Linked DNA regions of Rhinolophus ferrumequinum. Each later gene encodes a partner of the first gene's protein in a complex. Links are inferred from orthologs where the notes say so. Each region holds a gene or a part of one and is shown in the gene's direction. Other genes may lie near its edges. The genes, in order: CENPA, NTMT1, CENPC and HJURP.

Evidence for each region.
Region 2: the proteins of CENPA (region 1) and NTMT1 are in contact, whole or in part, in a crystal structure (PDB 5CVD), measured with the Homo sapiens proteins. The link is inferred for Rhinolophus ferrumequinum from reciprocal best matches to the Homo sapiens genes CENPA and NTMT1. Residues at the interface, in NP_001800.1 of Homo sapiens: Gly2, Pro3, Arg4, Arg5, Arg6, Ser7; in NP_001273725.1 of Homo sapiens: Tyr19, Trp20, Met30, Leu31, Gly32, Tyr34, Ile37, Trp136, Asn168, Ile175, Asp177, Asp180, Asp212, Glu213, Ile214, Tyr215.
Region 3: CENPA (region 1) and CENPC share a complex: the UniProt entries of both Homo sapiens proteins name them as parts of the CENPA-NAC complex. The link is inferred for Rhinolophus ferrumequinum from reciprocal best matches to the Homo sapiens genes CENPA and CENPC.
Region 4: the proteins of CENPA (region 1) and HJURP are in contact, whole or in part, in a crystal structure (PDB 3R45), measured with the Homo sapiens proteins. The link is inferred for Rhinolophus ferrumequinum from reciprocal best matches to the Homo sapiens genes CENPA and HJURP. Residues at the interface, in NP_001800.1 of Homo sapiens: Lys64, Leu65, Ser68, Arg69, Arg72, Asp83, Phe84, Asn85, Trp86, Gln87, Ala88, Gln89, Leu91, Leu92, Ala93, Glu96, Ala97, Ala100, Phe101, His104, Glu107, Asp108, Leu111, Leu112, Leu114, His115, Ile132, Glu136; in NP_060880.3 of Homo sapiens: Glu14, Asp15, Leu18, Lys21, Leu22, Ser25, Arg26, Arg28, Phe29, Arg32, Met33, Leu36, Lys39, Tyr40, Pro43, Phe44, Thr47, Pro48, Val49, Val50, Gln51, Met52, Ala53, Thr54, Leu55, Ile65, Trp66, Gly67.

Annotation. Positions count from the first base shown.
Region 1 is NC_046296.1:53,767,229-53,774,231, reverse strand, and holds the start of CENPA (histone H3-like centromeric protein A), read left to right. Parts: upstream 1-3,943; 5' UTR 3,944-4,167; coding exon 4,168-4,261; intron 4,262-7,003. UniProt on the Homo sapiens protein: Histone H3-like nucleosomal protein that is specifically found in centromeric nucleosomes. Replaces conventional H3 in the nucleosome core of centromeric chromatin that serves as an assembly site for the inner kinetochore.
Region 2 is NC_046295.1:78,074,960-78,083,117, forward strand, and holds the start of NTMT1 (N-terminal Xaa-Pro-Lys N-methyltransferase 1), read left to right. Parts: upstream 1-5,124; 5' UTR 5,125-5,279; exon of another isoform or gene 5,280-5,424; intron 5,425-7,717; exon of another isoform or gene 7,718-7,994; intron 7,995-8,004; exon of another isoform or gene 8,005-8,158. UniProt on the Homo sapiens protein: Distributive alpha-N-methyltransferase that methylates the N-terminus of target proteins containing the N-terminal motif [Ala/Gly/Pro/Ser]-Pro-Lys when the initiator Met is cleaved.
Region 3 is NC_046288.1:26,688,602-26,695,722, reverse strand, and holds the start of CENPC (centromere protein C), read left to right. Parts: upstream 1-3,970; 5' UTR 3,971-4,196; coding exon 4,197-4,214; intron 4,215-7,121. UniProt on the Homo sapiens protein: Component of the CENPA-NAC (nucleosome-associated) complex, a complex that plays a central role in assembly of kinetochore proteins, mitotic progression and chromosome segregation.
Region 4 is NC_046291.1:5,347,237-5,355,176, forward strand, and holds the start of HJURP (Holliday junction recognition protein), read left to right. Parts: upstream 1-4,780; 5' UTR 4,781-4,856; coding exon 4,857-4,952; intron 4,953-5,252; coding exon 5,253-5,319; intron 5,320-7,642; coding exon 7,643-7,695; intron 7,696-7,940. UniProt on the Homo sapiens protein: Centromeric protein that plays a central role in the incorporation and maintenance of histone H3-like variant CENPA at centromeres.

The DNA of each region.
Region 1 (7,003 bases):
GGTCATATAGCCAGTGATGGGCAAAGCCAGAGTTCCTGGTTCCCAGACCTTGCCCACCCCTTTCTGCCACAGGGAACACAGCCGGGAGTCTGGAAGAATCCACGACTGTTCCTTTGCCATGGGCTGCCCAGCCTCTGTGCTCAACTGTGCAAACTGCTTAAGAGGGTGTTCGGGAAGCACTTGGCCTTTATTTGAGTGTTGCCATGGAGGACTGTGAAAGCTTTTGGGGAGAATTATAATGGAACTTCAGTGGTGAGGGGTAGCATAGCCTGAGGAGAGGGATGCCCCATCAGGCCTGCCACCGACTCAAGCCAATTGCTTTACCTCCTGGGGCTTTGGGTCTTCGTATCTCTAAAATGGGAAAGCCTAACGGGATGAGTATGAAAATTACATAAGATAATAAATCACAGGTGCCTATAAATGTTAACACACAGTGGGGTGTATGTTTAGCTCCACTGTCCACCAGGGTGGTCTGTCAGGGGCACTGAAGTCCCAGCTGAGCACAGCATGGCATCAGCTTTGCTGAGAGGGAAAGAAATGTTTTATTAAAATACCGTCATGGAGTAAAATGCAAAATTCATATCAGTTATAGTGATAGAGGATAAAACAGAAGCCTCAAGAATATTTCATGCTGACAGTAGATACCATCCCAGACCCTGGAGATGTGTTCACTCTATCCTGTTGTGCTTTGGGGGGTGAGTTTGAGACGCTTTGCTGTGTCGTGCTGATTATGTAGATGGAGGGTAAGAACCTCTACTCTCAGTGAGTCTGGAGGGTTATAGGGAATGTCTAGCTGTGGCCTACCGTTCTCAGTGGAGTAAGGAGGCCCTAAATGGTGGAAGTTTGGCATAGAGGCGCTGAACCCCCAAATAAGAATTGACTGGTATCAGACTTCTGTAAACATTGGTTCAAATACAATGTAATTTAAACCATCTGTACCGTGGTGAACTCATCAGTCCCTGCCCCTGAGTGCTTCTGAGGGAGCCTAGGGCTGGGGTTTCCTTTAGGACTGCCTGTCTGGGCCCTGGAGTAGGCCTCAGGCTCCTCTCGTCAGGAATCTGCCTACAAAGCAGAGAGGTAGGACCGTGCCAAGTGGTTCTGCTTGCCTTCACTTTGTCCAAAGGTCTCTGCATAGTTTAACAAGCAAACAGCATTCCAGGAGGTCAGAGCTCTGACCCCTGATGAGGACAGGCTGAGGACGGGAGCAAAGGGTCACCTGGTGTAGGGGAAAGAAGCAACATTAAGAGTCAGCTGTGTCCTTAGCCCTGCCTCTGCCTTGACTGGCTGTCCTTGGACAAGTCATGTTACCTTTCATGACCTTGGCTACCTATAAAAAGGAGAGGTTCTCAGCAGCCCTAAATGTGTTCATCCCTTTGACCTGTTTATCGATCGATACCATTCTTTCCGATTTGCTTTGGTTTAGAGCCCCCTGGCCTTTTGTTGACTACATCCTTTCAAAACCTGAGGTCAGCAGGGAGCTCCCTACGTAGCCATGAAAGTTTACAAATCACCCTTCTTCATTAAGAACTCTTGTCAAAAAAAAAAAAAAAGAGAGATTTCTATCCCAGAATTCAACAAACTTTATCAAGAATGTATGTGCTCCAAGGACTGGATCCATCAAAGGAAACAGGAAAAACGAATGTGTAATGAAATTCTAGTGCAGCGTGCTGTGCAATAAGAGGCCTTTGTATGAGGTGCAGGGGAGGTGGTGCAGGGAGGGGTGCAGGGGAGATCAGCTAACTGCCTGGAACTCAGAGAAAGGCTCCACTTGAGCCGAGTGCTGAAGGATGGGCAGAAGTCTTCTAGGCTTGGTGGCGTGGGAGGGGGAAAAGAAGTATCCCAGGAAGCAGGAACAGCTTGTAAAAGGCACAGAAACGTATGTCACAAGGTGATGTACCTGAGAACTGCAGGTAAGTAGACTGGTACAGCTGGCAATAGGCATGCAACACAGGAAGTGGCCAGAGACAAGGCTACAGCAGGGTAGGCTCCCAGATAATGCCGTGCCTTTTAGGCTTTGGTGAGGCGTCAGGGCTCTCTGTAGACAGTAGGATGCCCTGGAGAGTTTTAGACAAGGAAGTAACATGATCCAAATTGCTGTTTGGGAAGATCACTTGGTTATATGGGTTTGATTAGCATTAGGAAGAACTAAAGGCCAGTAAGACCACCTTTGATTAATTAGGGTCTGAACTAGGGAAATGGTGGCGAGGATAAATACAAGAACCATCCAAGGAGGAGATTCTGACTTTTTAGAGACCTGGTTGTAGGATCTTATATTGTATAAGGACATTATGCTAAGTGAAGTAAGTCAGAGAAATGCAAGGACCATATGATCTCTCTTCTATGTGGAATCTAAAAAAAGAATCCTATTTTCTACCTTGTTTTCCACTTCACTAGAACAAAATAGGAGCTATATGTCTAAAACAGAATTAATGAGTGAAGATTTGCCTTGTCTGATTAATGGGTGTTGAGGACTGGTGTAGTTGGACTTCTTGCCTCTGTGATGATCTGGATTACTGAACACCAATCATCTTTCCGTGATTTGACTACACCTCGTTGGATTCAACCAAACATTCCTTTTCCTTCCTCCCTTTTCTCTTCTTTTTCTTTCCTTCCTTCCAGTAAAATATACACAATGTAAAACTTACCATTTTAGCCATTAAGTGTACTCAGTGGCATTAAATGTATTCACATTATTGCGCAACCATCACCATTCATCTCCAGAACTTTTTCATCTTCCCAAACTGAAACTCCATACCCTTTACCCATTATTAACTCCCCATACCCTTACCCTCAGCCACTGGCAACCACCATCCTATTTTCTGTCTCTAGGAATTTGCTCTAGGCACCTCGTATAAGTGGAATCACAATATTTGTCCTTTTGTGTCTGGTTTATTTCACTTAACATAATGCCATCAAGGTTCATCCATGTTGTAACGTGTCAGAATTTACTGTCTTTTTACGGCTGAATAATATTCCATTGTATGTATATATACCACAATTTGTGTATTCATCCATGTGGACATTTTTGGCTATTGTGAGTCACACTGCTATGAGTATTAGTGTACAAATACCTGTTCAAGTCCCAGCATTTAATTCATTTGAGCATATACCCAGAAGTGGAATTGCTGGATTATATGCTAATTCTATGACCAATTACCATACTGTTTTCTCCTGGGGTTGTACCATTTTACATTCCCACTAATAGTGAACAAGGGTTCCATGAAATCACTAATTTTGCAATGACATTTTTCCTGATTATAGTTCATAGTAACTATAGAACACTTAGAGAATGCAAGAAAGCAAACCGTAGAAAATCAAATCCCCCTTTTTCTAACTACATTTGACCTGAATACGGGTTGTCCACAACAGGAAGGGGAGGGGTCATTTCCCTTGGACGATTCTATGACAGTGCTAGAGCGTGTGACCCAAGAATAGTACTGAGGCCTGCCCTGCCTGATCGCATCTACAGACCCGGGATCCCGGCTGTCCCACGACCCTAATCAATAATGTTCATGCAGTTAAACTGGCTTTTGAGTCATATTCGTGGGGTGTTCCCGGACGGGACACAGATATGGCGTGGGGTTGTCACATTCTCTGTGGGTCTGCCTCCTCATCTTTAAAAGCTACCTCAGGATTGATAAGGCAAAGCATAAAATCTTTGAGCAAAGTGATTCGTCTAGAGAAACGCGTTCTACAAACACACCATCTACGTCTCCAGAGTCGAGCTTTCCTTTTTCCACCAGAGGACACCCGAGGACGTGGAGCTGACAGCATCCCCGACAAACACGTAGAGGGAAAATTCCCGCCTATTTTCAGTTCTCCAAGTGTCTATTGGCTGATTCCACCGTCGATCCGCCATGTCCCCGCTTCCTCCTCCTATCACCGCCTCCGTTAATCTCTCGCTTTGTGCTCTCATTGGTCCTCCCCGCAGTCGCTCTGCTCCAGAGGCAGCCACTAGGAGTCGCAGGATTCGGGTTTTAAAAAACGCCGGCAATGAATCGGCTGAGCGGGCCGTTTGAACCCAAGGGGGCGCAGGTGGCGCTGGAGCAGCCTCCCTGCTGGCACACGTGGCTAGCGCGCTCCTAAGCCTACCCCAGACGCCAGCCTTTACGCCCGAACCGTGAAGGCGGAGAAGAAACCGCGGGGCCGAGACCTTCCGCGCCCTCCATGGACCCGCCCCGCCGGCGCCGCAAGCCCGAAACTCCGAGGAGGCGCACCGGGAGCCCGGCACCCGGCCCCCGCCGGCGGGGCGCCCCCGCAGGTAACCGGCCGCGGCCCCTTTCCCTCCAAGTTGTCCCCCTGCAGCCTGTCTGTGAGCTGGGCACGGCCGGGTCTACGTGCCCATTTCACAGACAAGAAAACCGAGGCTCGTTTGCGGAGCCTGACATCGAGCCCGATCTCCCTGCGCCTGGTCCGCTGGCCTTCCAGCATCTGTTCGGAGCAGGGCCCAAGTTTCAAGCCTGGGGAGGGACTGGGGAAGGCAGTTCCAAGAAGGAGAAAGGACTGGCCCAGACAACCTGGCTCCTAATACTAATACTTCTTGATGTACTAGGATTTGTTGAGTGCTTACCCCTAACTAGGCATTTTGGTAAACTTTTTACTTGAGTTATCTTAGTTTTATATATATTGTGCCCATTTTACAGATGAAAAAACTGAGCCACAGACAGGCCAGGTAACTTGAACAAGGTCACACAGCTTGTTCTGGCAGATGCAGGATTTCTAAAATTCAGTGTTTGTGCTTTTTTAAATTGCGAAATTACTGGCTGCTTTTTGTGACGATTTCAAGCAATTCTACTTTTAGAAGATGACCTTCCAGGTTTGTTTCATTTGTTTTTCCTTCTGTGACTGGCTGTGTTGGGGCTTACCCAGTGCCCTTAACTCAAGCAGTGCTCTCCCCTTGTTCCCTTCCCAACGTGGGTGCCCAGAAAGACAACTGGTCTGTGGTCCTTAGTTTCTGTTCTGTGGTCTTTGTTCTGGTGAATGAGAGATGCACCAACTGTACGTTGCGGCAACAATTGCTTTACTTGTCTTCTGCTACCTAGCCAAGAGCAGGGTGGAAAAGTACATTATAGGTTATTTATAAATGTTGTCATTGTGAATGAGATTTTTTTTTCTTTCTAAACATAAATAACCTTTGCAGCCAACCAATTTGCTGCATACTTTTGTTAATCCTAATAATCTTTTAGTTGCTCGATTGAAATTTTAAGTAGGCTATTATATTGTCTGCAAATAAAGACTTTTAAGTCTTCTTTTTCATTTTGATACATTTTATTTTGTATTGTATTAATGAGGCCCTGGGGCTACTACTGAAATAAGAGCGGTGTTTTAGCCATCTTTGTCTCATTCGTAATCTTAACAGGAATATTGTTAAGGATGGTGTTTGCAGTTGCTTTTTGATGTAGAAGCATCCCTCCATTCCTGGTCCATCTTTTCTCTCAGATGGACACTGACACTTCCTGGCAATCCTACTGCACTTGTTCAGCAATCTTGCTTTTCCCTTCTTCCAATGACTATTCCATGATTTTTTTCTTCCTCTTCAAATTCCTGCAGCTCCAACCCTACCTCACTGTAACCTGATGATGACCTTGCCCCAGGCTTCATTGAGGAAATAGAAGCCTCTAGATTGTATTCCCTTTATCTTCTCACAACAGAGAACCTAGGTATCTACCTTCCTATCCATCTACTGGGCTAGCGGTCATATTCTTCTCTCACCTTCCCAAAGCTTTCTGTTGTCCTCTCCACCTGCACTTCGATTTAAATTCCAACTCCTTACACTGGCATTCTGTAAATGTGCTCTGCTATTTCTAATCTAAAGAAAAAGAGCAGGGGTGGCTCCTTGTTCCCACATCCCCGTCTCCCTCATACTCCCCATTTCTCTCTACTGCCCTTGCTAGCTACCCATTTTAAAATAGCCAGACTTAAAAGTAGGTTTCCCCTCTTCCCAGAAATCCTTCAACGCATTCCCATCTGACTCCCCACAACCACTACCCCTACTTCTAGTACACTCGAACTACTCTCGTCGAGGTCAACAGCTACTTTAGTGTTGCCAAATCCAGTAGACATGTCTGTTTGATTCTTGCTGTCTCTCAGAAGCATTTGACACAGTGGACCACTTTCTCCTTGAAACACTGTCCCCTTGGCTTCCACGATACAACACACTCTCTGCAGTTCCTGCTTGTCGTTTCTTACTGCCTGGGCCACCTCTCTTCATCAGCTCGATGTTGGACTTCCTTGGTATCCTTTCCCTCACTTTCCCTTCCCAGGGAGTCACATCCCTTCCCATGACTCTAATTCCACTCATACATCAACAGCTCTCACATTCGTACTTCTAGCCCAGATCTCTCCTCTGAGCCCAGATTTGTATATCAACTGCCTCTCTACCTGAGTGCTCTTGGGTATGCCAAACTAACATACCAAAAACGAACTTTTGGTTACTCCCCTCCTACCTCTTCATCCCCACTTTCTCCCATTTCAGTAAATGGCACAACCATCCACCCAGTTTTTCAAGCCAGAAACCTGGGGCACATTCTTTTCTCTCACCCCCATGTACAATCCAAATGTAAGTTCATGCAATTGTACCTCCAAATTGCATCCTTAGTCATGTCACTTGTTGCCATCTGTACTCCCACCAGCCTAGTCCAAGCCTCCAGCATCCTAACCCAGCCACTACTCCACTTCCACACTGTCTCTTATGCAACAGCTGGAATGAACTTCAAAATGTAAGTGGATCCCCTCTCTATCCTGCTTAAAGCTCTTCCATGGCTTCAAACCTTAAGATTGAATCCCAACTCCTTATGTTGGCCTTTCAAGACCCAGCTGCTGAATGTTTAATCCCAGTTCTTTCCCATGATCTCTTTCATTGGCTACTTTTCATAACCGCTTGTTCTTGGGTCGTGGGTTTCCTATCTTACCTTACCCCTCTAAGGTTATAAGGTGTATATCTCTCAAAGTGTCTATCTCTTTGCGCTATGAACTCAGATTCCTCTGGTATTGGTTATTTTGT
Region 2 (8,158 bases), on another chromosome or scaffold:
TGCCTGGCTACAGGCATCGTACCTACTTATCCAACAGTGGTCAGCGTATCAACGGCCACCCGGTGCTGGCCTCCGGGCCAGGCCAAGGCACTCCCCAGCTCTGCCCACAGGTCTGAAATCGCAGCTGCTCCTCAAAGGCTGCTGGAACCTGTGCTAATGCACCCTGGAGTCCTGCTCCTCTCTAGGGCCGACCAGGGAATCTCACACATGGGAACGTGGTCAAGGATTAGCTATTGAATATGGGACACTGTGAATGTGTCTGTCCCTGAGGTCGCTGACATTTGAGACCATGAGTTCCAAACTTGTATTTGTTATGTCTTGTGAGAAGGGATGTGTTGATTTGGCCTGATTGATTTAAAGTTCCTGGACTGGCAAATGTGTTTCATTTCTGGCACCTACTCTGATCCATCAGTGGTGCCTGCCTGGAGCACTGTGTCAGGAAGGGCGCTGAGGCTCAGTGGGGAAAGGTGCTGTGATCAATGAATGTCCTCTGTCATGGGGCCAGGATGAGAAGGCAGGACATGTATATCGTGTATTTACTCTCCCTGGTCTTTCAACTCGTGGGCAATGCTCTTCACCCTTCACCCCTGTTTAAGCTGGAGGAATTTTTTCTGCATTCTTTCCCTCCTCCATTAGAGTTACAGCACCGAGGCCCCCGTGAGCTCTAATGCCCAGGCTCCTCTCCTACCTTCATCCTTTATTTTTTATTGCCCCCAATATTTAACATGGAGTAAAATGTAATAAATGTTAGAGGAAGAAATGGAGGAATGAATGGTGGGATAGGTAAAAGGACTGAAGACTGGTGGGTGAGAGGGTGGACAGATGGGTGAACCGCTGGGTGAATTGAGGAAAGGTCTGAGCAGAAGGACTGGGTCTTAGGAGGATGCGTACGAGTGGGTGAATGAATAATTATGTAGATGGGTATGTGGACTTGTAGATGGCTGCACGACTAGATTAGAGATGAATAGGATCCTGGGTTTATGAGTGGATAGAAAGGTTTGTAAAGGATTGCTCTACAAATTGGATTCATGGATGGATGGATGGATGGATGGAAGTGTGGGAGCTTGTGAATGGATGGATGACTGGCTGGATGGATGGATGGTTGGATGGAGGTTCATGAATAGGTGGTAGAAGACCTGGATCACAGATAAGATGTATGAAAGGATGGATGGGTGAATGGCAGAATGAATATATGAATGGACTCATGGGTGAATTATGAACGTGTTGTAGAAGACCCAATTAATGGATACATGGATTGATGGATGTTGACGGATGATCCTTGAACGGGTTAGGAGAAAACCTGATTCATGGATAGGTCTATGTAATGATGAGTGAGTGGATGGATGGGTGGATTCATGGATGGATGATGAATGAATAAGTGGAAGAATAAGTGGATAGATAGGTGAGAGACAGAGGGAAGAAGGGAAGGAAAGAAATGCTCTTTCTCCCTACTCCCTACCCTCATCCTCCCATAACTCACTTGTTGGCCTTCTTGATCTTGGTCAATTGTGCGTGATCTTTCCTCAGCGGCCCCAGGGTAGGTATCTGATGGAGCAAAATCTCCTTAGGACTATTCTGAAAGTATGATGTCTGGCCCCTTGAAGACAAAGAGGCCACATCTGGCATGAGTGGTAAGGGTCCACCACCTTCGGAGCGTCGGTGACAACACTCCCCACCAGCAGGTCACTGACACTTACCTCAGGTCTGGGAGGAAGGAGCAGTTGGGACACTCTTTTGAGGTTGAGGTTCTGAGGATGCGGGGAGCCAGGAGGAGGTGGAAATAGTTACGAACCTTTGCTTGGGGACAGTCCTTACTAGGGTCTTCCTACTTTTATGAACTTGGGCCTCAGTTTCCTCATCCTTACAACAAAGGCAATGAGAAACCCGCCCTCAAAGGGTGGTTCTGTGCAAGGTGGTGGGCCCCACCCACCCATGACTCAGCCCCGCCCTTGCCCTGCCCCCTGGGGATCTAAACAGGGCCTCACTCGGTGGCTGTGGCTGCTGGCCGCAGTCGGCCCCCATCTGGCACAGGAACTCCTGGAATCTGCTAGAGGGGAACTTTCCTAGGTGGGCACCCAAGGAGTCCTGGGCCTCCCTGTCCGAGCCCCTCCGGGAGACCTCGCACTCTCCGGACTTGGGGGAGCTGGGACCCCAGTGTCCGGGGTATGCTGGCCCAGAGCAGGGGCGAGGGCCGTAGCGACCTTAGCCCTGTCCTGTTAGGCGCTGCCCGCTGGGGCACGATAGGCAGGGCGGAAAGGCGCCGCACGGTGCTCCAGACGCCCACCCCAGGTTTGTGGGCGACGACGACTCGCCGCTGGAGGCCTGCCATCCCTCGGCGCCGCCCCCGGAGGCCCTTGAGTCCCCCCATCTATTTGCGCCAGCGGCTGGTCGGAGCTCATGTGAAGGCAGCCTGGGCAGAAGAGGGTCTCTCCTTCCGCGATCGCCCTTGCTGGGGAACCCCTTGGGCTCCATCTGCTGGGGGCGGGGCTTGGGGCGACGCCGCCGCGTGTCTGACCCTGCGCTCAGCTCAGGGCCTTCTCACGCCAGTGGGGGCAGGGGGTGCCGTGTGAAGTGGAGAGGAGAGCATAGGCCAGCCCCCGGCCATAGTGCCCAGAGCGGGGAACCGTGGTCTGGGGGTAGTAACATCTCTGGCTCGCCAGGCACCGAGTGGCTTCAGGCTGGAGCTCTCTGAGCCTCTTGTTCCCTCCCTTGGAAAATGGTGACGGTAAGAGTACCACCTTTTTGAGTTGCTGTGACGTTCAACTGAGCGAGCACACGTAAGTGGCTTAGAATAGTGTCAGGCACGTCGTAAGTGCTCAACAGACACAAGCTGCTATTATTATGATGGTTTTTAAATTATTACTGAGGATTTAGTCTCAGCTCCACTACTTAATAGCTTTATAACCTGGGGCAAGCCAACTGATGAACTCCTCTCAGTGGCCTCATCTGCAAAATGGGGATAACAGAGGACCTGCTCCTTTGTAAGAGTGAAATACCGACCCGGTAGAGAGCACTTAGCACATCGGGGTGTCAAGTCCTGGAGGCTGTTACTGTTTTAGCGCTCGCTCTCCTGGTCCCCTGGGAATTAGGAAACCTGGAAGTTGCTCAGCATCTGTCTCCTGCTGGGACCTCGGACCCCCTTGGGTGGGGAGCTTGTTGAAAATACAGATGCCCCAGATTCTGATTTAGAAGGTCTGGGGTGGGGCCAAGACACATGTTTTTTAACAAACTCCCCCTTTATAAGAGAGAGCCCCAGACCTGCCCCCAGCTTCTGACACTGGGGTCTCGGAGCCTGCTTCCTCCCCACCACACCCCACTCCCAGATGCAGTCAGCTGTGAGCTGGCTCCTAGTGACATACTCACCCTACTGAGGCTTCAGGGCCTGGCCAGAGAAGGCCCCAGTGAGTTTAGAGGCCCCTACAGGTGGCTGGTGCTGGGGGGAGCCCATCTTCCTGGCCTGGTCCCTCTGCTGGCCCCTCCCTGCTGCCTTAAGGACCTCTTCAGACTCATTGTGACCTGCCCCTCACCCAAGGTCATGTGAGGAGCAGTGGGCACTGAGGCTGGGGACAGAGGGCGGGGCTGTTGTACAGGCTGCCAAGGCTGCAGTTACAAGGGGGTGGCGGGGGGAACACCTGACCAGGACAGCCAGGCCCAAATCAGGGATGGAAGGCCCGGGGTTCAGCTTCCCACTCCAGATCCGGGAGGCCCAGGTGAGGCACATTGAGGCTGATGTCTCTGGAAGTAGAACTTCCACTGGAAGGCTGGGCAGCATGAATGCAGTGGGCCCGGAATCTAAGAGAATCAATTTTGACTCCTTGATCTGCTTCTGTGTGCTGTGCGATGCTGGACCTTTCTCAGGGCGCCATGGTAAAATGGACTGTTGTACCCCATCTGTGACTCTTGTTTGGCAAGGGGCATGGAAGAAGCTTGTATTGTGAATTTCGAGTGGGGGACAAGGGTAACTTGGACCAGCAATTTCACCGGCATGGTATAATTTTACAATTTGAAAATGGAAAGAAAAAAGACTTTGTAATTCAAATTATAAGGCGTCTGCCTGGAGGAGGCACCACAGACTATGTGTTCCATTTCTGCAAATACTCCTCAGCCAGGAATGGAAGGTGTAGGGAAGGGACTTCCTCTTCCGTTGACAGAAAAAAAGGTAGGAGTGGATTTTTAGGCACCCCTAAAAGAGCTAAGCTCAGAGCTGCCCTCAAATAAGATTATAGACACCGAGGATTTATCCCCTTCCCTTAGAAACATGGAAAATGAAGCTTGGAAAGGGACCCAAGGCTGACCTGGAGTATTCTAGAGAGGGTGCCAAATAATATGGACATAGATTTAGGGGACTCCGCTGAAGGTGGGGCTTTTCAGCAGCCCCCACATAGTTTTCACTTCTTTAGAGCAAACACACTTTAAGCACCTCCTGTGTGCAGCGCCCAGAGGCAGACACTGTCAATAAGACTAGGATGTCAGTCTAGGAAAAATGAAGTTAGGTTGTATATTTTCGTTATAACAGCTACAAGCTCAGGGCTGAGGGCTTGCCGTGCGATATCCCACAAATTTAACCGTCAGAACGTTGCAAGGTGACTAATTATTTCATCTGTCTGGCAGAGGAGGAGAATGAGGCTTGAAGAACTTCACAAGAACTACCTGCAAACTCCAGTTTCCATCAAGGTGCTTCAGGGACGCTCAAGAATTTCTACATATGGGAGGAGCCTAAAGAAGGGCAACCTTTGTGGAATGGAAAATTTATGGACTTGTTCTGCTTAATTGGGGTGGCAAACCCTTGGCATGGCTAAGGGTATTTCTTTTTTTTCTTCTTTACTTTTTGGATCTGTTTATTAAGATACTAGTGTTATGGGCGGGATTTGAGGAATAAGGCTCCCCCTCTTTTTACCCCGTGGAAAACCCACAGAACACTCGTGTTTAAAAGTCCAGCCTTAAGCCCTCCCAATGAACTGGTACACGTGCTGGAGGCGGGAGAGGGTCGGCGCTGCGGCTCTTCTAAGTCTGGGACGTCCTTCCAGGGACAGAAATGTCAAGCTAGGTCAGGAGCCCATGGGCGGGGCGAGCCAATTGCGGGGCGGAGCCATCCGTGACCCCGCCCCTCGGCGCACCCGGAAGTTACGTGTGCGGACAAAGGCAGCGCGCGCCGCGAGGTGTCGCGTCTGGCAGTGGTCTGACGGAGGTGGTTGTGGGCTTGTGGGGTCTTCGCTGCCGCCGTCCTCCCTTCCACTTCCCCATCCTCTTCTCCCGGGTCCCGGGAGGCCCCGCCCGGGGTGAGTAGCGCGAGGCGGAGTAGGGGGCGGCGGCCGCCGGGAGAGCCGAGGCCTCGACCTCCAACTGCCTCGCCGCCCTGAGGCCCCGGCTCCTTACGTGACCCGGCGCGAACCGGCCGGGGCCCCACGTGCGCGCTCTGGGAAGGTCTGTGGGTCTGACCTGGGCCACGGGTGGGGGGTGGAGGAGGAAGGCCGGGGCCCCCAAAGCCGGGGCCGAGCGCTCCTCCCCGCCGGTCCCTGGGCCGCAGCAAGCCCCTGTCCCCCTCTCAGCCTCAGTTTCCCCTGTGAGAAACGGGGATAAGGAGAGCACCCACTCGGCGGGTGGGTGCCAGGATACAGTAAAACGCTCAGTTCAGAGACGGGCACACGGCAGGGCCCGTTGCATAGGAGTTGCGATCACATTTCACCTTGGCCCCGGCCCGTTAATGGCCTGACACAGGTGCCGCTCAAAAGACAATCCACCAAGAGCCCTTGGAGCCAAGGTCAGGCAGTTTGCGGAGAGGCCGTCATAGCGAAAGGCCCAGGCTTTGCTGCCCATCAACTGTGTGATAGCTCAGGACCTGGTTTCTCTGTGCAGTTAGGGATGGAAACAGCGGGGGTCAGAGGCCCTGCCCTTGGGGAAGGGCCGAGCTGCAGGGGCCTGGGTGTGTAGAATCCTTGCCCCGTGAGATGGAGTGAGCCCCTGGGAGGCCAGGGCCTTGACTGGTTAAGATGTCTGGGTTCCCAGCTCATTCTGTTCCCGGTTTGTGGTGTGGGTGTGTATTTTAAGGCACCCCACTCCTTCAGTGGGATGGTTCTCCTGTCTGTCAGCGGGGCTGTGGCAGGGTTGCAGGTACATGTGGAATGCTTTAGTGGAGACCAGGAGCCACAGAGTCACAAAGGCAGCATCTCCGAAATCTGCAGTCCTTCTGTGCTTACAGGATGAGGAGTCCCCACCCCGCCCCTGCAGGTCAAGAGTTGTTTGAGGCTGCAGGATGGACCTCGCAGCACAACTGTGATAATCCCTTAGGTGTGGCCAACACGCTACAATGTCTGGGGCCCTTCGGTGCATTTTTCTCATTTCATCCTCCCAATTGGCCGAAGGCGTTGACGGGAATCTCTTTTGACAGAGATGAGAAATCTCTGGTAATGTGTGCCGGGCACTGTATGGATCCCCGTCTGCTTTTCGATCCACGTTTAATCATCACAGTCTTCCCATACAGTCAGTATTGCTGCTCCCGTTTTATAAAGAAACTTACGTAACTGAGCTCAAGTGTCTTATGTGAGCTTTGGCAGCCAGCGAGCCGCAGAGCCAGGATTCAGACCTGGTTTATCTGAGCCTTTGTGTTAAAGTCCTCCCCTCCCCTTTTTCTTGGTTTGTTTGCCTTTTCTCCTTCCTTCTCTTTCTTTTTCATAGACTTCCCTCCCATGTTCATATGTCCAGCTGCAGTCACACAGATCCAAGAACAGACCCTGTGCAGCAGGCTACGAGGAGGAGGGAGGTGACTTCAGGCAGCCTCGGGCCTCCTATTGCTTCCTGGCTTTTCCTTAGAGCCTGGAAATGAGATGGATGGGATGACTCTGCCAGGCACGGCAGTGACAGTTCAAACACGGTTCTCTTCCGCGGATCCCGGGAAAAGAGAGGTAGCTGGGCCAGGCAGTCAGGTGTTCCCCTGAACACCTTGTCGGGGGAGCAGGAGGTGGCCGGATGACCGTGACCGATGCGCAGACAATCTACCCGGTCACTGGGAGCAAAGGCTTTCTCTCTTCCCCTCCCAGCTAGCCTAGCGCGCACACAAAGCCAGCCGTGCCCAGGCCCCTTCCCCAGCTCCTCGCTGTGGTCTGGGCAGAGTGTAGGAGCACGTCCTGCTGTTTGACTGACAAGCCACTGTTCTCTCTGACTCCTAGGGACCTCCGGCCTACTCCAGTCTGGACACCGGGAAGCAAAGTGTAGACAGGGCCCCAGGAGTCATGTTTACTAATGAGTCAGCTGTTAGAACAAATGTCAAAGTTACACTTGCCATTTCCCAGCCTAGATGTGCCTCCCTGGCTTATTCCTAGAATCTGCCTGTAAGTGGAATTCTTGTAAATTAGATTATGCAGGGGACCTTGACATTTAAAGGAATCATGTTATAAGGCTTTTGGTAAAAGCAAAAAAATCACATCATCGGTAATGGCCTTCAGTGTTACCAGTTTCGAACGGTCAGATTTTTGTCGGTGGGATTTTCTTAAAAGTGGGAAATGGCTGTAGCTGTACAAAGCTCATTATTGGATTCCCTCAACAACCAGTTAGCAAACACCCACCTTCATCACGTGCTGGGCTAATGATGTACCAAGTAATGACCCTCGCCCAGGAAGCTTACATCTGGGGAGGGAAGGCCAACAGCTAGGCAGAGAGAGTACGGCCAGGTAAGTTTTATTTATTTAAAATGAAAAGATTTATTCTGTTCATTTACTAGGAAGTGAACTGTTTGTTGAACACCTACATGCCATGTGTGATGGAAGAGAAAGACAGTGACACATGTCAGGGTGTCACCTCTTGGCTGCGGCCCTGTCTGCCGTTTGCAAAGGATTCCTCCATTCTTTGAGTTTCCACGGCACTTCTGGGCTCAGGGAGAGCCCTCATTGTTTCTGCCTGTGTTTCAGTCGGTTCCATTTTTGCTGCCTCTCCTCGTGGACAGGGGGCTGGACTGTCTGTTGACAAGCTCACAGCAACTAGGACAGTGCCCATGCGGGGTGAGCATTTGTTGAGGAGTGCCAGTGCCTCAGAGTAGATCCATGATGTGGCCAGGCGGGCTGAATGTGGAGCTGCTGAACGGCCCCTCTCCTCTGTCCTCCCTCCTGAGTGGCGCGGTGGGACTGAGCTCGCTGCCAGGGCCCCTGCTGTTGCTCTGTGGTCC
Region 3 (7,121 bases), on another chromosome or scaffold:
CACACAGCAGATAGATAGCATTTGATGTCTGGCTTCTTTCACTTAGTATAATGTTTTTGAGATTTATCTGTGTTGTTGCATGTCTCAGTTGGTTGTTTTTATTACTGAGGAGTGTTCCACTGTGTGGATGTACTGCAATTTGTTTATTCATTCACCAGTTGATGAGCATATTGCCAGTGTAGGTCCATTATGACTAAAGATACTGTAAACATTTGTATTCAATTCTTTGTGTAGATATGTGTTTTTATTTCTTTGGGAGTAAATACCAAAGTGTGGGATTGCCGGGTTGTATGTTAAATGTATGTTTAACTTTACCGTTTTGCATTCCTACCAGCAAGGTATGAGATTTCCAGTTGCTGGTCCTTCTTCCTGGCACCTTGTATAGTCAGTAGTAAAAAAAAATGCCATTCTAGTGTGTGCTGGTGTGTCATTTTAGTTTAGTTTGCATTTCCAAATGCAAATGTTGAGCATCATTTCCTGTGCTTATTTGCCATTTGAATCTCTTTGATGAAATGTCTATTCAATGTTTTTGTCCATTTTAAACATTGGATCTAACCTTTTTCCAAGTGAAAAGTTTGTTCATATTGTGGTTTTGGTTTGCATTTATCTGCTGGCTAATGATGTTAACCTTTGACATTTCAAACTTCTCTTGAATATCATCAAGCTTGTCAAGTTAACTGGCCTAACTCTGCATTTGTCTTTGGCCTTGCATTTACTTTGAGGACTTTTTGAGTAATACTGAATCGTATGAAGCCGTTCATCTTTTGCAAGATTTTCATGTTTGATTTGCAATCAATTTTACACTGTATTCTGTTTTGTTTTATATATCTGACAACCAGAGTGAGACTGACCCAAAAATGATAGTGATCCAATGGGACGATGGACTAGGACAGAAGCTCATATTAAGCTGTAGGAGTGGAGTTGAATATGGACGAATTTTTAAGGGGTCAGCTCTATTGTGAATATTTTTGTTATGACTTCTGTTTCTCTATGGGACCTTGTAAGTGAAGAGACGATAAATTTGACAATAAGTAGTGTTAAACTAGAAATCTTTAACTTCCACGACTGAAGTGTTTTTTTGTGGTTTTGTTTTGTTTTTTTAGTAAGATTTGATTGAGACAAAAATACTAGCCAAAAAATTGGTCCTGGGGCATGGAGTCTAAACCACCAGCAGTATGGCTAGGAAGAAAAGACATCATGTCTGTAGTCCCAGATTTTGCAATCATTTTCTATACATCAAGTAGGAGGAAGGGGGAAGAAAGAGGTATTCTCAAAGAATTTACATGAGCTATAGACATAGGGGTGAGGGAAGGTGAAGTAGAGCCAGCTCTGGGATAGCAGAGTCCATATAAAGAATTGTGCATAGGCTGGGGGCAGAGTTCAGGTAGCCCTGTGTAAGTAAAAAACAGAGGCTCTGGAGTTAGATGTTGCCTGGCTAAAATAATATGTAGAAATTAATTTGAAATCCCAACAGCTAAAAGGGGAATGTGAGACGTCTTTGGTTAACGGGCCTGCAGCCATTCATTAACAGACTAACAGTTCTCTCTCTTTCACTCTCCAGCCACTGTAATTTAATTTAGAACATCTCAGATTTTTTTCTTATCCGTACCCATATCATAATTATTTAGTGGAAATTAGAGGTAACTAGGGAAATGTAAAGGTCAGTTTATATATAGTATTAGAATTAAGGACTCAGTGCAGACCTTAAGCACCCATTGCAAAGTAAAACTGTGTGTGTGTGTGTGTGTGTGTGTGTGTGTGTGTGTGTGTGTGTACATTGCTGCCACCTGTTGGCATATTGCAAGCACACTATTAACTTGGCATTTACAGTCTAATAGAGCCTTTCTATCTGAGGATAATTTTGTCAAAAAAGGCTATTTAAAGTGAACGTACCTAGCAGATGGACCAATATTTGGCAGTGCAGAGTAAAAAGAGAATAATTGAAATTTTATATTAAAAAATACAACTCAAAATTATACAAATAAATTTATTTCACTTTAGCAAATTTTAAGTTATAATTGCAACTGTTATAATTTCTAGAGCAAATTGATTTTTGGAGTGTAATTTTTAAGTTTTTAAGTGTAATATTTAAGTTTAAAATATTATTTAAAGGAGTTTTTAACAATTACAATTTTTTACTACACAAAATCATAAGTAACTAAAAGTTTTTACTTTCAAGTTAAATTTCTGGATACTTTATTTCCCATATACATATTTAATACACATATTTCCATAGACAGATACATACACACATACACACACGCACACACCTTACTTAGGTAAATAGTTGTGATGGAAAACTTAAAGATTTAGTCACTTGTCATAGCAGTTGATGTATTTTGAGGGGGAAGGGTCTATAATGATAAATATGGATTTTAAAAACATTGCTCAATTATCTAGAAACTGCCCTATTTGGGGATGCCAAAACCATGGTGGGGCTATTAAATACTAGGACAGATGCAGAGGGAACTGAAAAGTTTGGGCACTGGAGTCTCCATAACTTTGTGTTTTCATAATGGTTCTCCTCCATTTTCTCTAGAGAACAGAGCAGTTCATCCCCAACACCCTTTGCGTCCTGCATTTTACACCAGCATGTCATTGCTTTTCAAGTTTCTCAAAATACCTCTGAGAATTACTGTTTCCAGTGGAAGCAGAGGGATATAATTGTACATGTGGAAACCTACAGCTATGATTGAGCTTGCTAAAATTTCCCAGGGAGAGGTAAAAAGTATAGTGATTAAATGCTCAGTTTTGGAGTCAGAATACCAGGGTTCATCCCCAGTTCTGTCATTTAATGGTAGTGTGATCTTGGGTAAGTAACTTAAACCCTGTCCCTGTTCTGTTATATATAAAATAGTAAAATAGGAATATTAATCATCTTCTCTCATAGGAATGTTCTAAGAATTAAATAAGTTACTGCATGTAGAGCATTTAGAATAGAACTTGGCAAATAGTACACACTCACTAAATGAGTTTTTATTATCTATTCTAAATGTGACAACACCAAATTATATAATGAAGTCTGATTGGCAAAATGTCTGCTAGACCAAGTTAAAAAAAAATCACCATGGTAACACCAATTGCATTATTTATTGAATTCTTACTATGTTCCAGGCATATCACCTAGATCTTAAAAGGAATTAATCCAGCATCTCAAAACTTTTAATATAATTCCCATTTACAGACAAGGGAATTGAGAAAGTTTAATTAACTTGCTCAGTATGGCAGAATTAGTGGAGTATAGTGGAACTCGGGCTTCTCTGATTTCAGAGTTAATTTGTAATCCCTCTTCCCTACCAAAAAAAATGGCCTTAGCTCAACTCTTAATGATTCAATAATTAATGTATTTTTTGATTAAAATTACCATGCGAGTTTTTATTAAATCATAGAAATAGGATACAGTTTGGTAGAATCATAAAATGTAGGAAGAAGTGTTCAGAGCATCTAATTTAGCTTTCCCATTACGTATATAATTAAGGAAATAAGCGGAACAGTGCCACAATTTGTCCTAGAGGACATAGCCAGTCACCTAAGCAGGTTTCAAGACTCCTGATCTAGTACTCCTTTCAGGGCATCATGCTTTAATGATATACATGTACGTAAGTCATACATGCATCACGAAAATATTACCCACACATTCAACAAAAAAATAACTTTTTTACTCTATAATAGAATCGTTGAAAAGTCAAAGGGGAAAAAAAACGTTCCTAAGACCGTGCTTCCCAAGTGAAAACCCAGCTTTATGGCCAGCCTCCGCGTGGGGAGGAGGGAAAATGAAGCTAAGGGAGGAAGAGAGAAAGGAGCTACCGGAGGACAGAGCGGGGCTATGGGAAGAACGTGGGGCGGGGTTACAGAAGGGCGGGACTGTGGGCGGGTACAAGGAGGGCACAGGCTTGTAACGGCTTTCTTCCTATTGGTTGGCGAGGTCTGTTTTGCGCATGTGCAGGCTGTTTCAAACTGTGGAGGCCGCCACACCCCGGTGTTTGCCTAAGTCCAAGCCAATAAATGAGGAGGATCGCGGCTGCGCTCTGGTTGGTTCCAAGTTTCTTTGCTCCTGCCGCCTCTCACTTCGTCGGCGCTCCTGGTTCGCCGCCTAACTGCCCCTCTCGTGACTCTGTCATTGCTGGGCTTCCTCAAGCCGCGGCCTGTGAGGGCTGCCACCCCAAACGCCCTGCGCAGGCGAGCCGGGCCGGAACATGGCTGCGTCAGGTCTGGTAAGTGCGGGTGCCGGCACCTTCTGGCGGGTGGGAGTCCGGCCGCCCCAGAACCCTCGCGCCCGAGGCGGGGAAGAATGAAACTTTGGGCCGGTGCTCTGACTTCTTGGGGATTTCAGTGGGAAAGCCGCGCGAAGTTTTTGAGATCAGGAGTGATTGTGTGCCGATAGCCAGAGTTTATTTACTTGTGTTGTTTTCTCAAGGTTTCTTGTAATTCCGGCCGTGATGGCATCTTTCTCTTCAGAGAATCTTGTGATTTCTACTTTGTAGCCTAACTCCAATTCCTAGTCTTCCAAATAATTTTCTGTCCATAAAAGTATTGAAATGCCTTAAAGTTTTCCTTTGCCTCAGACACGCAGTCTAGAGAAGCAGATTATTTATGGAGCATCTGTTACGGATGAAGTTTTCTGAAGGGCAGCTGTTAAAGGGTGCAAGCTGTAAACGACGGGGGAGGGAACTCATTTTTTGTTTACATGCTTCTGAACTTACTCTGTATTCACTCTTTATATTGCACACATCGCTTCTGGTTACGATATAATACATAACCCATGTCATCCCCATCCTAAACTTGTGTCTTCTACTTTATTTCCCTGTTTAAGAACGTCTTCGGCATCGATGTACTGCCCCATTTATATAAAGTTATATTTGTATGCACAAAGAGATGTATTCAAGGGTTGTATAATGTGTGCTTTCTACTGTGAGCGCATACATTGTTTATATTATATGTAATAAAGGAATGCTGGAGGAAGAGAAGGAATAAAATTTACCAAATGCCCACAGTTCTTGGGGGGGAAAAACAGCTTGGTTTTTTTAGAGCAGTTTTAGATTTCCAGCAAAATTGAGAGGAAGGTACAGAGAGATTTCCCATATACCCCCTGGTCCTCACGCATGCATTGCCACCTTCATGATCAACACCTCCACCAGAGGGAGAACATTTATTACAATTGATGAACTGACACATTGTCACATTCTAAAAGGAGTGTAGTGAGCTGTGTAGTGGTATCATGTTTTAAGTTGCATTTCCCTGATGACGTGATGTAGAGCATCTTTTTATATGCTTATTTGCCATCTGTATACCTTCTTAGGTGAGGTGTCTATTAAGGTCTTTGGCCCATTTATTTTTTAATTGGTTGTTTTCTTATTGTTGAGTTTTAAGAGTTCTTTGTATATTTTGGATAACAACCCTTATCCGATGTGTCTTTTGCAAATATTTTATCTCAGCCTGCCTTGTCTACTCATTCTCTTGACCACAGTTCATTTTTCAAATGCCTGTCATCACCTGAGATCTATTTTGAGTCTTAGTTCTAATTGACTTTGCATCATAATCCATTTAAAAGGCAAGGGGGGGAGGAGAGATTATCCTTAGTCATTCCTGTACTTTAGTACTTTAGTAGTTCTTAACTGGGAGTGGCTTTAACCCTCTACCAGACATTTGATTATGTCTGGACAAATTTCAGGTTGTCCTGAGAGGGGGTGGGTGAAGGGGTGCTAAGGGAACCTAGTGGATGGAGTCCAGGGATGCTGCTGAGCATCCCGAAATGCAGAGAATGGGCCCTCACAGCAGTCATTCAGTCCATGTTAGTAGTGCTGGGGTTTAGAAACTGCTGAATTGTATCTTTTTTCTTTGAGAAACAGAATCTCACAGTGAATGGAAGAAACTAAAATTGAAATTGACTGAATAATGAGTTGAAAGTGGCAGTTTTTGAGTGTGCATTTGTTTTGAAAACTAAAAGTTTTTGCATTCTAAGTTTTACTTTAGAATTAAGAGACCATGTCTTGTTCATCACATGTTTTCTAAATTGCACTTGGCCCTGTACTAGGTCCTCAATTAGTATTCTAATGAATAAACTATCTAATCCTTAATTTTTTCTATTTGAAAGAGGAATAGAGTACTTAACAGGTGTTACTTAATGTTCAAAAACATTGCAAATTTGATGGATATTTTTAATTTATTGTGTGAAATTAGGAGAAGAGTGGCCTCAAATTAGGCCTTAGAAGGTTGTTAACTTACATTCTCAGAGCTGTACTTCAGTTTCAGAATGCTGAGTGCTGGACAGAGACCAAAGTGCTTGAGTTAGTTTTCATCAAATAATGAACGGAGACTTGTTAGATATCTTTGTTCTTTAGTTTGTTACCTGTAAAATATATTTTATCCTTTGCTCCTTAGTTACTTCCTGAGGATAACAGGCTCTGTGAAACTCTCACCTTTAAAGAAAGACATTTTTATCTCATAAGTTTTTGGTCTTATTTATTTGGCATGTCAAAAAGATATTAAATGTGTGATATACAATGCACTAAGCAAGGCTGTGGGAAGAATATAAACTAGCTTAAGACAAAGTCTCTGCTCTCAAGTTTCTTAAAATCTGATAGAGGTCTTCATTTTCCTGAATAATGCGATCCAAGGGCCATTAGGTGGTGCCAAGTAAGGTAGGGGTCCTGATGGGTAGGAAATGGCAGTGGCCCAGAGCAGTGTGTAGGAGCACGAGTGGAGTCAGGAGAGTGTCCCAGCTCAGGATGTCAGAGCATGAACAGGGTAAAGAGTGTCCACATGGGGTGGGGTCATCTATATCCCATTGGGCCAGGTGACAGTGAGGCTTAATAAATATTTGGTATTGGTGATAATATTTTCATTTTTAAAAGCATGTACTTCATCCTATTGCTACCCAATTTGTAACTAGTTTTACTTTATAGATTTTACAACTGAAATACAGGACCCAAAGTATCTCAGATAGACTCTTGACCTCCAATATAGCTTGTCTGTGTATTTTATTTTTCCTGTGGTTCCCATTGATTAGGACTGCTTCTCTATTGGGGTTTATTGGGGTTACCTGTTTTCTCTTTCATTCGCAAACATTCTAGGATCTTTTCATCCTCAATTTTTCTGAAATTTCACTGTAACTTCCTAGG
Region 4 (7,940 bases), on another chromosome or scaffold:
CTAATCAAAACTAAGATGGAATGGTTATATTAATAACAGACAAATTAGACTTCAGAACAAGAATATCCGAGACAAAGAAAGACATTATAAAATGAAAAAGTGATCCATTCACTAAGAAGACATAAAAACCCTATGAGGATAACAGCAGAGTTTTATATAGGAAGCAAAAACTTGTAGCATTGAATGAAGAAATAAACAAATCCACAATTTAGTTGGAAAACTCAAAACCCTTTCCTCAGTAATTGATAGAATTCTTTTGAAAATCAATAAAGATATGAAAGGCCTGAACAACACAACCAAACAACTTGACTTCATTGACACACGACAGCAGAATACACCTTCTTTTCAAATGCACCATCACCAAGACTGACCATATTTTGGACCTTAAAAACTCCTCAACAAATATAAAAAGAGATGTAAGGAACTGGCTCACGTCATGATGGAGGCCGAGAAGTCCACGGTCAGCCCACACTGCAAGCTGGAGACCCAGGAAAGCTGGTGGTGTAGTTCCAGTCTGAGTCTGATGACCTGAGAACCAGGAGGGCTGATCGTTTAAGTCCCAGTCCAAGAGCAGGAAAAGTCCAAACTCACTCAGTCAGGCAGAGACAGCAAATTCTCCCTCCATCTTTTTGTTCTAGGAAGGCTCTCAATGCATGCAATGATGCCCACCCACCTTGGGGAGGGTAACCTGCTTTACTCAGTCTACCAATTCAAATGCTAATCTCTCTTCAAGGTAGAAGGATTAGGTATTGAAATGGGAGTTGTTTTTTTTTCTGTCAAATTCATTCAAAATTATAGAATGAAGAAAATTCATTAAAAGTTGTAAAATATATATCCCATTCAGCAACAGGAAAAAAATCTGGTATATAAGCAAGACATTTAAAATAAGAAAACAAAAAAATAAATAAAATAAGAAAACAAGTGAGAATTCCTTAAAAAAATTTTTTTTAATTCTGTACATTTTATAATAATGTTAAGAAATAATTGTGATAAATGACAGAGACACAGAAATTATTCTTATTTCTTGCAATAAGAACATTAGAAGCAATAGTGATAGGAGTTGAGTATTAAAAGGTAAAGATAGTTGAGAGAAGATGTAACACTATTACTGTAAAAGCTAATTTTAAGTAAGGACTGGATGCACCAAAACTTTTCCAAAAACACAGCAGTTGCCTTCTGTACTTTTTAAATTAACTCCAATAAGCCATGGGCGGTAAGAAGGAACTACAATGGGTTGAGGAAAGAAGAAAGGACTGGACAATCCCAGGACATTTCCAAAGTAGGTAAATTTTTTTGAAAAGTATTTTGCAAATTACCAATTAACCTGGTGCCTCCTGTTGTAAAGTTATTCACACATAATAATGGAAGAGCCGATCTTTGCTCCAGAGAAAGAGGTCCTGAGAGTTTTCAGATCCATAAATAATGGGACTGATTAAAAATAGGTCATCCAAATCTATCTAATTGCCTTCTATTTTTAATGTAAATTCTTTTCATTGATTTTTAAAATGGATAGCCCATTAAAACACATTAATCATGACCCTAAAAGTGTATCTGTAGAGCAAAAAGCCTAAGGTGAAGAATAAAAAGCAATTTCCCACCACATGAAACTGAGGCAGGAACATCACCAAAGAAAGCTGGAGCCCTACTTTTCCCAGGAAAAAAACACATTTCTGGGTAAAAGCTGGGAGGAGAGGTATCATTATGATAAAACGTTGTTCAACTGTATGACAGCGGTTTTAGAATGTCTGGAACCATGTGTGTCCTATTTAGGTAAATGGTCTCTAATTTTGTAGAGGCAAGGTAAAATACATGATCGGCTCTGCTGTGTTACATATCACATGAGAAATGCACACTCACAATCGCGGGATACAATTCATTCTAGAAAATGAAGCTAAGGAAAACTACTGGAATACTAAAACTAATCCGTCATCCAGCGATAACACCAGAAACATTTTGATAAATACATACTCGGATTGTTAAAACATACAACGCATATTTTTTAAAGGCAGATATATAATACATGTTTGTAACCTCCATTTATTCTAAGAAAAAAATCATGTTTTTGATGCCAATAAATATAATTTTTCAAAACTGTAGTTAATGGAACACAGATATGTATCACCATTTACTCAACCTTCTTTCTAGGATTGGACTTTATAAACAGTGCTTCACTAAAAATCTTACAGCTAAATCCTTGCCAACATTCTTAATTACTTAATTACTTAGGATAGATCTCAAAAAGTAGACTCAGTAAATCAAAGAATAAACATGTTTTGTGAGCTTGGACTGACACCTTTTGGAAAGTTAATTGTTTTTCAGCTATTTCACAGTCCCTTTGTTTCCATCAGCCCTAGAATGACAGAAGAAAGTGAACCCTTTTCTTGGCGGCCTAACAGATGGGGCTTAATACTTGCCACGATCTCAGACTCACGTTTTCACTGTCACATAGCGAGAAGTTTTTGTAAACGCTGGGAACGGCCCAAAGCTGTGCTTCTCCAACCACAGAGAGGTGGTGACATTTCCACACCTTGCCAACATAAAATTATGTACATGGCAATTCTATGCAGAATAAATCCTCATTTGTTATATAAAGTTGTATAAAATGCAGGCACATTTTATGAGAGCAGACATAAAATAATTCCCGCGAGAAAGATTTCCTATGTGTAATCATAATTTTAAGCAGCACTTTAAGGGGTGAAAATTCTGGCCATGCCAGCAGAGGACACTGCGCAGGCTCAGCCCGAAATGGAGATCCTGCAGCAGAGCTGACCACTTCCTCATCTCTGCTGCCCCCGGAAACCCCTTGAGACGCAGAGGGGCTACACCAGCCACTTCCACTACCAGGGAAGGAGTTCACTTGGGATCCTTCCCTGTCATATGGGGGTGAGGAGTGGTGGAAGGGGAGTTTGCATAGCAGGTCTGGGTTCCTGAGGTCACATGTTAGGCTGCTATAGGTGTCTGTGGGGGTCAGGGGAGGGTGTTTGTAGGGAATGGTGTCAAATTGGGAGCATCCTGCAGGACTCCTCCTTCCGTCGTTGGGCCATGACTTTGGCCCATGGGATGGGGAAAGCCAGTCAGAGAGGACTGGGAGGCCAGCAGGCCTAAAGAACAAGGGCCAGTGCACGTTGGTTTAGAGGGGATTGCCAAAGAGAGTATGTTTTTGGACCCTCATGCCTTCTCCTGAACCAGCATGATTCCTTAGGATAGAGGCAGGTCCTTGGACACTCAGTGAAGCCCTGGATCCTGAGAGTGGCTTTCTAGGTGTAGGAGAGCCAATTTTGAAAAGTATCACTATCTCGCTTGTTAGTCATGAAAGAGAAAGTTTTCCAAGAATTAAAAGAGACGATAAGGAAAACCCTATCCAAGATGTCAAGTCTCTAAATGTGACAGTCACGTGTTTGAAAAACAACCTGAGTGTGCCAACAGAGTGAAAGGAAAAGCAGGTAAAGTTCCTGAACACTCCCTAGAGGGAAGGAGGGGAAAAGCTCAGCTGACTCATGAAAATTGGACAGCTACAAACGGAATGTGTACCATCAGGTCCTCGTTACAGGCTGGGTTCTCCAGGTGGCAGAATGTGACAGAGTTAGTGTGCAGGATGTTAACTAGGGAGTGCCCTTCGGTTCGGCGGCTGGGAAAGAATGGAGACTGGACAGGTTGCCTCGGCAGATTCCAGGCGGAATCTGAAATAACCCTGTCTTCATATTCCCACCTGGATCAGCCGCTGGATTTGGGGCTGCACGACCGGGGGTGAGGGGTCCTCTGCACCTGAGAAGGTGCCTGCCGACAGCCACCAGCAGCTGCGGTGTCTTGAAGGCGGCTCTGGGTGGCCCATCTCTGAGTCCATTACAATACATTTTCTGGACACTCCACTACGTGAGCCCCGGAGTTCTTCTCACCTCCCTTACCCCCAATTTCTGCTGGATGGCATGAGAGGATTGGGGCGCAAGCTGAGCGAAGATGAAGAGCCCCAGCTAGGGACCTAATGGTGCTCAGTTATGCTCTTCTTATGTCACGTACTATATGGTAATTGTATCAGCATCAACACATGAATATGACTAAGTTATGAAGCTGAATAAAACTTCTCTAAAATGTACTTCGTAAACTCGACCAACCACACTCGAGGAAAGACTGCATTCTCTTTCTATACTTTAGAGAAAACATTACAACATTAATATCAACGAAGAGTCTGAGTGCGCAATAAAAATATATATACGAAAAAGGTGTACCAAGAGAATAAAAAATTATATTTTCCTGGATGCTCAAACGTTTACGATATTTCTTTCTAAACGTATGTTCCCTTTCCTGCCTCCTTTTGTATTTGTAATTTGGGGGGTCTCTTTCTTGTGCCCCTCCCCCTCCCCCCCTACCTCCCCCCCCTCCCCCCCTACCTCCCCCCCCCTCCCCCCGGCTGCTCTCGTGACAGCGCGAGGGCCCAAGGCGGGCGGGGTGGCGGAGCCGGCTCCGGGGAGGGCGCGGGGCGACGTTTGGGTGAGGGGCCGCCCCCCACTCGGCGGCGAGTCCCGGCGCAGGTCACCCGGGCATCTCCTGTGCACAACCCGGGAAATGATACGGACTTCACAGGACTCTCGCCATTAACCGGCAACCGACGGGACTACCGCGCCACTCCCGTGCGCATGTGCGGCGGCGCACCCCGCCCACTACTTCGGAGCCGAGCGGCTGCGGGAACTCCGGCGCCTATGTTTGAAAGGCCCAATCAGCGCCCAGCCTCTCAGCGCCAGCCAATGGAAAGCCCGAGGGGCGGCCAGGAAGAGCGGAGTCCCTATTTGAACTGGGGCGCGGGGCGAAGCTCCCAGTCCCGTTTCCTGCGGGAGTCGGGGTTTGGGTCTCCGCGCGCCATGAAAGACGAGGTGCTAGGGGAGGATGCACTGCTGCAGAAGCTCAGGGACAGCCGCCGCCGCTTCCAGCGTCACATGCAGCAGTTGCTAGAAAAGGTGCGGCCCCCACCGGCCCGCTGGGAGGGGCGCGAGGCCGGCGGGGAAGGGGAAGACGGCGTCGGGGACTGGGGAAAGGAGAAGAGCGGCGGGGAGGGAAGGTGGAGACAGGGTGGGGAGGCCTGGAACGGGGAAGGTGGGTTTAGGGCCTGGAGATGAGGAGAGAGGAGGCAGGATTTAGAGTGGGGGGGGGCAGGGGAAGGAGTGGGGAGGTTCCCAGACTTCCAGCCTCGTGCTGTCGCGGGTCAGTGGCTACTTGCGACCCTCGGACCTGATAGGGCGCCCCTTTCTCTCCTGCAGTACAACAAACCCTTCGAGGATGCCCCGCTGGTGCAAATGTCCACGCTTACCTACAAGACATCCACGGGTAGGAGTCATTTCCCCTTTCTGAATATTTACAGTTAAGAGTGTGAACAGAATAGTGTCTTCCTAGAGCTTGAAATGCTGTCCCTGCTCTCTTTGGAAAATAATACCTGTTCGCCTAATAGGAACTAAAACATTACGAGTTCCCTTGAACCAATAAGTTAAATTACTTCTTCCAAACAGAATTACTTATCAAAACAGAATCCTGAAGACAGATGCGTAGTGGTTAAAAATGCCCCTGCCTGGGTTGGCATCCCAGCAGGCCATAAAATAGCCGTGTCAGCTTGGACCTGTTGTTTTAGCCAGGCTATGTGTCAGTTTCTTTATCTGTAAAATGGGAGGATGATGACAAAAATATCTACTTGGTGCAAATGTGACAGTTATATATGTGAGTGCTTGTGAAGTTCTTGGAACAGTGCCCTGCGCTAGAACACTCGTATTGACTGTTATTTGTTTGACTTGGAATACTAACTGTCCTTGAGATTCTGTGTACTTGGAACTTGGCTTGAATCTAGGGAGAAAGAGCCTTTCTGTTTAATGGTTGGTGTTGCGAAATAACTTGAATCTCATGGAATCTCTTTAGTAAATAGCTGGAGAACGTTTGCACGGGGTGAAAGTTTGTCACGTCCTCCCGTTCAGCCTTATTACCAGCTCATTACTACTAATGAAAGCAAATCTCAGATTCAGTTTTGCCAAGTGTTGGACAGACAGGTACAAAGAGGTTTCATAAGACTTACTCCTTAAATGAAGACCTAGCCGTCTTCCTTCTCAGCAGACCCAGCCATACCTTGGTAGAAAAGTTTCCGCAGGCAGGACCTAAGGGATTCCAGCTGCAGGTTTCTGTTGCTCTCGCATCTACAGCAGGCGGTGACAACTCCAACCCTAGGGCAGGACCCAGGGCTCTGCAGGAATCGTGCTGACGGACTTCACTGAGCACGGGCCGTGTCTGGAATATCTTGGCCAGTTCACATGTCTTCAGTGCCACTGATTTCACCAGTGAAGACTCATTGCAGACTCCCGTTTTGATGAGAACAGTAGTTGAAGTATCTGAACACCTCGAGAGCAATTACACTTAACATGTAGAAGACCATGTGGAGAGCTTGTTAAAACACAGATTCCCGGGGCTCCTGACTGCGATGCTGGATTCAGTAGGTCTTCAGTCTAACAGGCCCCTAGCTGGTGACAGCAGAGGTCCCCTGACCTGTTGCTTAGCCTGGAGAGGCACTCGAGGAGGGAGTGGCCTGTCTGGCTAAATGCTAGCTGACCACCCTTGCAGCGGGAATGCCCACTTAGGGAGTAGACTGGAACTGACACTTCCACACAGTATGGTGAAGTCAGCACGAAAGTAACAGTGGTTCACGTGTGTTGACAGCTAAGCATGTGCTTCTAAGGGTCTCCTGTTTTTGATTCTCAACACTGTGAGGTAGGTACTGTCCTTAGAATCATCCTCATTTCCTAGCGGGTGATACAGCAGGGAGAAGTTAAGGAGCTTATCCCACGTCACTCAGCCAAAGTGACCAAACCTGGGTTTAACACCAAGAGCATTTGCTCAAGCATCACCCTGTTCTGGAAAGGCTGCATGACACAGTGGTCAGGAACACGTCACTGTCCCCAGTTCACAGCCTGGCTCCACCACGCAGGCAAGTGTCCTGGGCTAGTTACTTGACCTTCTTGCTGTGCCTCCATCTGTACAGTGAACTTGGTGAGTGCCTATCCCGGAGGGAGTTAGGAAGTCCTGTTTGAGTGACATGTGAGGGACTTTGTGTGAAGATGACATGAGGTGCACTTGGAAAGAGTTTAGAATAGAGCCTGGGACGTTGAAAGCACCGTGGAAGTTTTGCTGCCATTATCATCATTCACAACCATCTCAAGCCTTGAACCGCAACGACCTCTTCTGATTATCTGGAATCGATCTGGGAGCAAATGAAGGTTTAGGAAGAGATGAAGTGTCTGGCCCAGGCTCTGTGACTAGGAAGCGCCACGCCTCCAACGCTCAGTGTTGGTCTCTGTACTTGGGGCGTGCTCTACACGTGTGGAGACTGTCCTATTTTCATTTAGCTTTGTGGCTTCATGATGATGTTGGACCAGCAGCTGCCCCCTGGGTAGGAGAGATTTTCATTACTGACAGGTTTTTGTCTAATCTTGATTTTTTTTTTTTTTAAGACTTCAACCTCACAAAGATGAAAAACAACCAAAGATCAGAAATACAGCTTGGTTTTAATATTATAACTTTCTTTTGCCTGTCACTTTAGTTTTCTATGAATGCAGATTAAATAGACTTGGGGTTCAGGATTACTTACGTGCTAATTTTTATTCCATTTCTTCAGGATGGAGAGTTTGGGGTGGAAAAGTACTAAAGAAAAACAAAGGACAAGCCCAGGTATTTATTGTCACATTTTATTGCCACCATTCCTTGCCATGGAGGACTACTGACGGGATAAAGGTGTGGGTGAGCTGAACAGCACCAGGGGCTTCTGGAGGCCACCACAGGGCAGTTCTTCCATGGTTTTCTCACCTTAGTGACCCATTTGCCTGTTTGAAGAATGTGCTGAGAAGCGTTTCTTCTATTGCTTGTCGAGTGCAAGGAGGAGCTGTGTGACTGAAGCCCTTTCTGTGTCCCGTGTC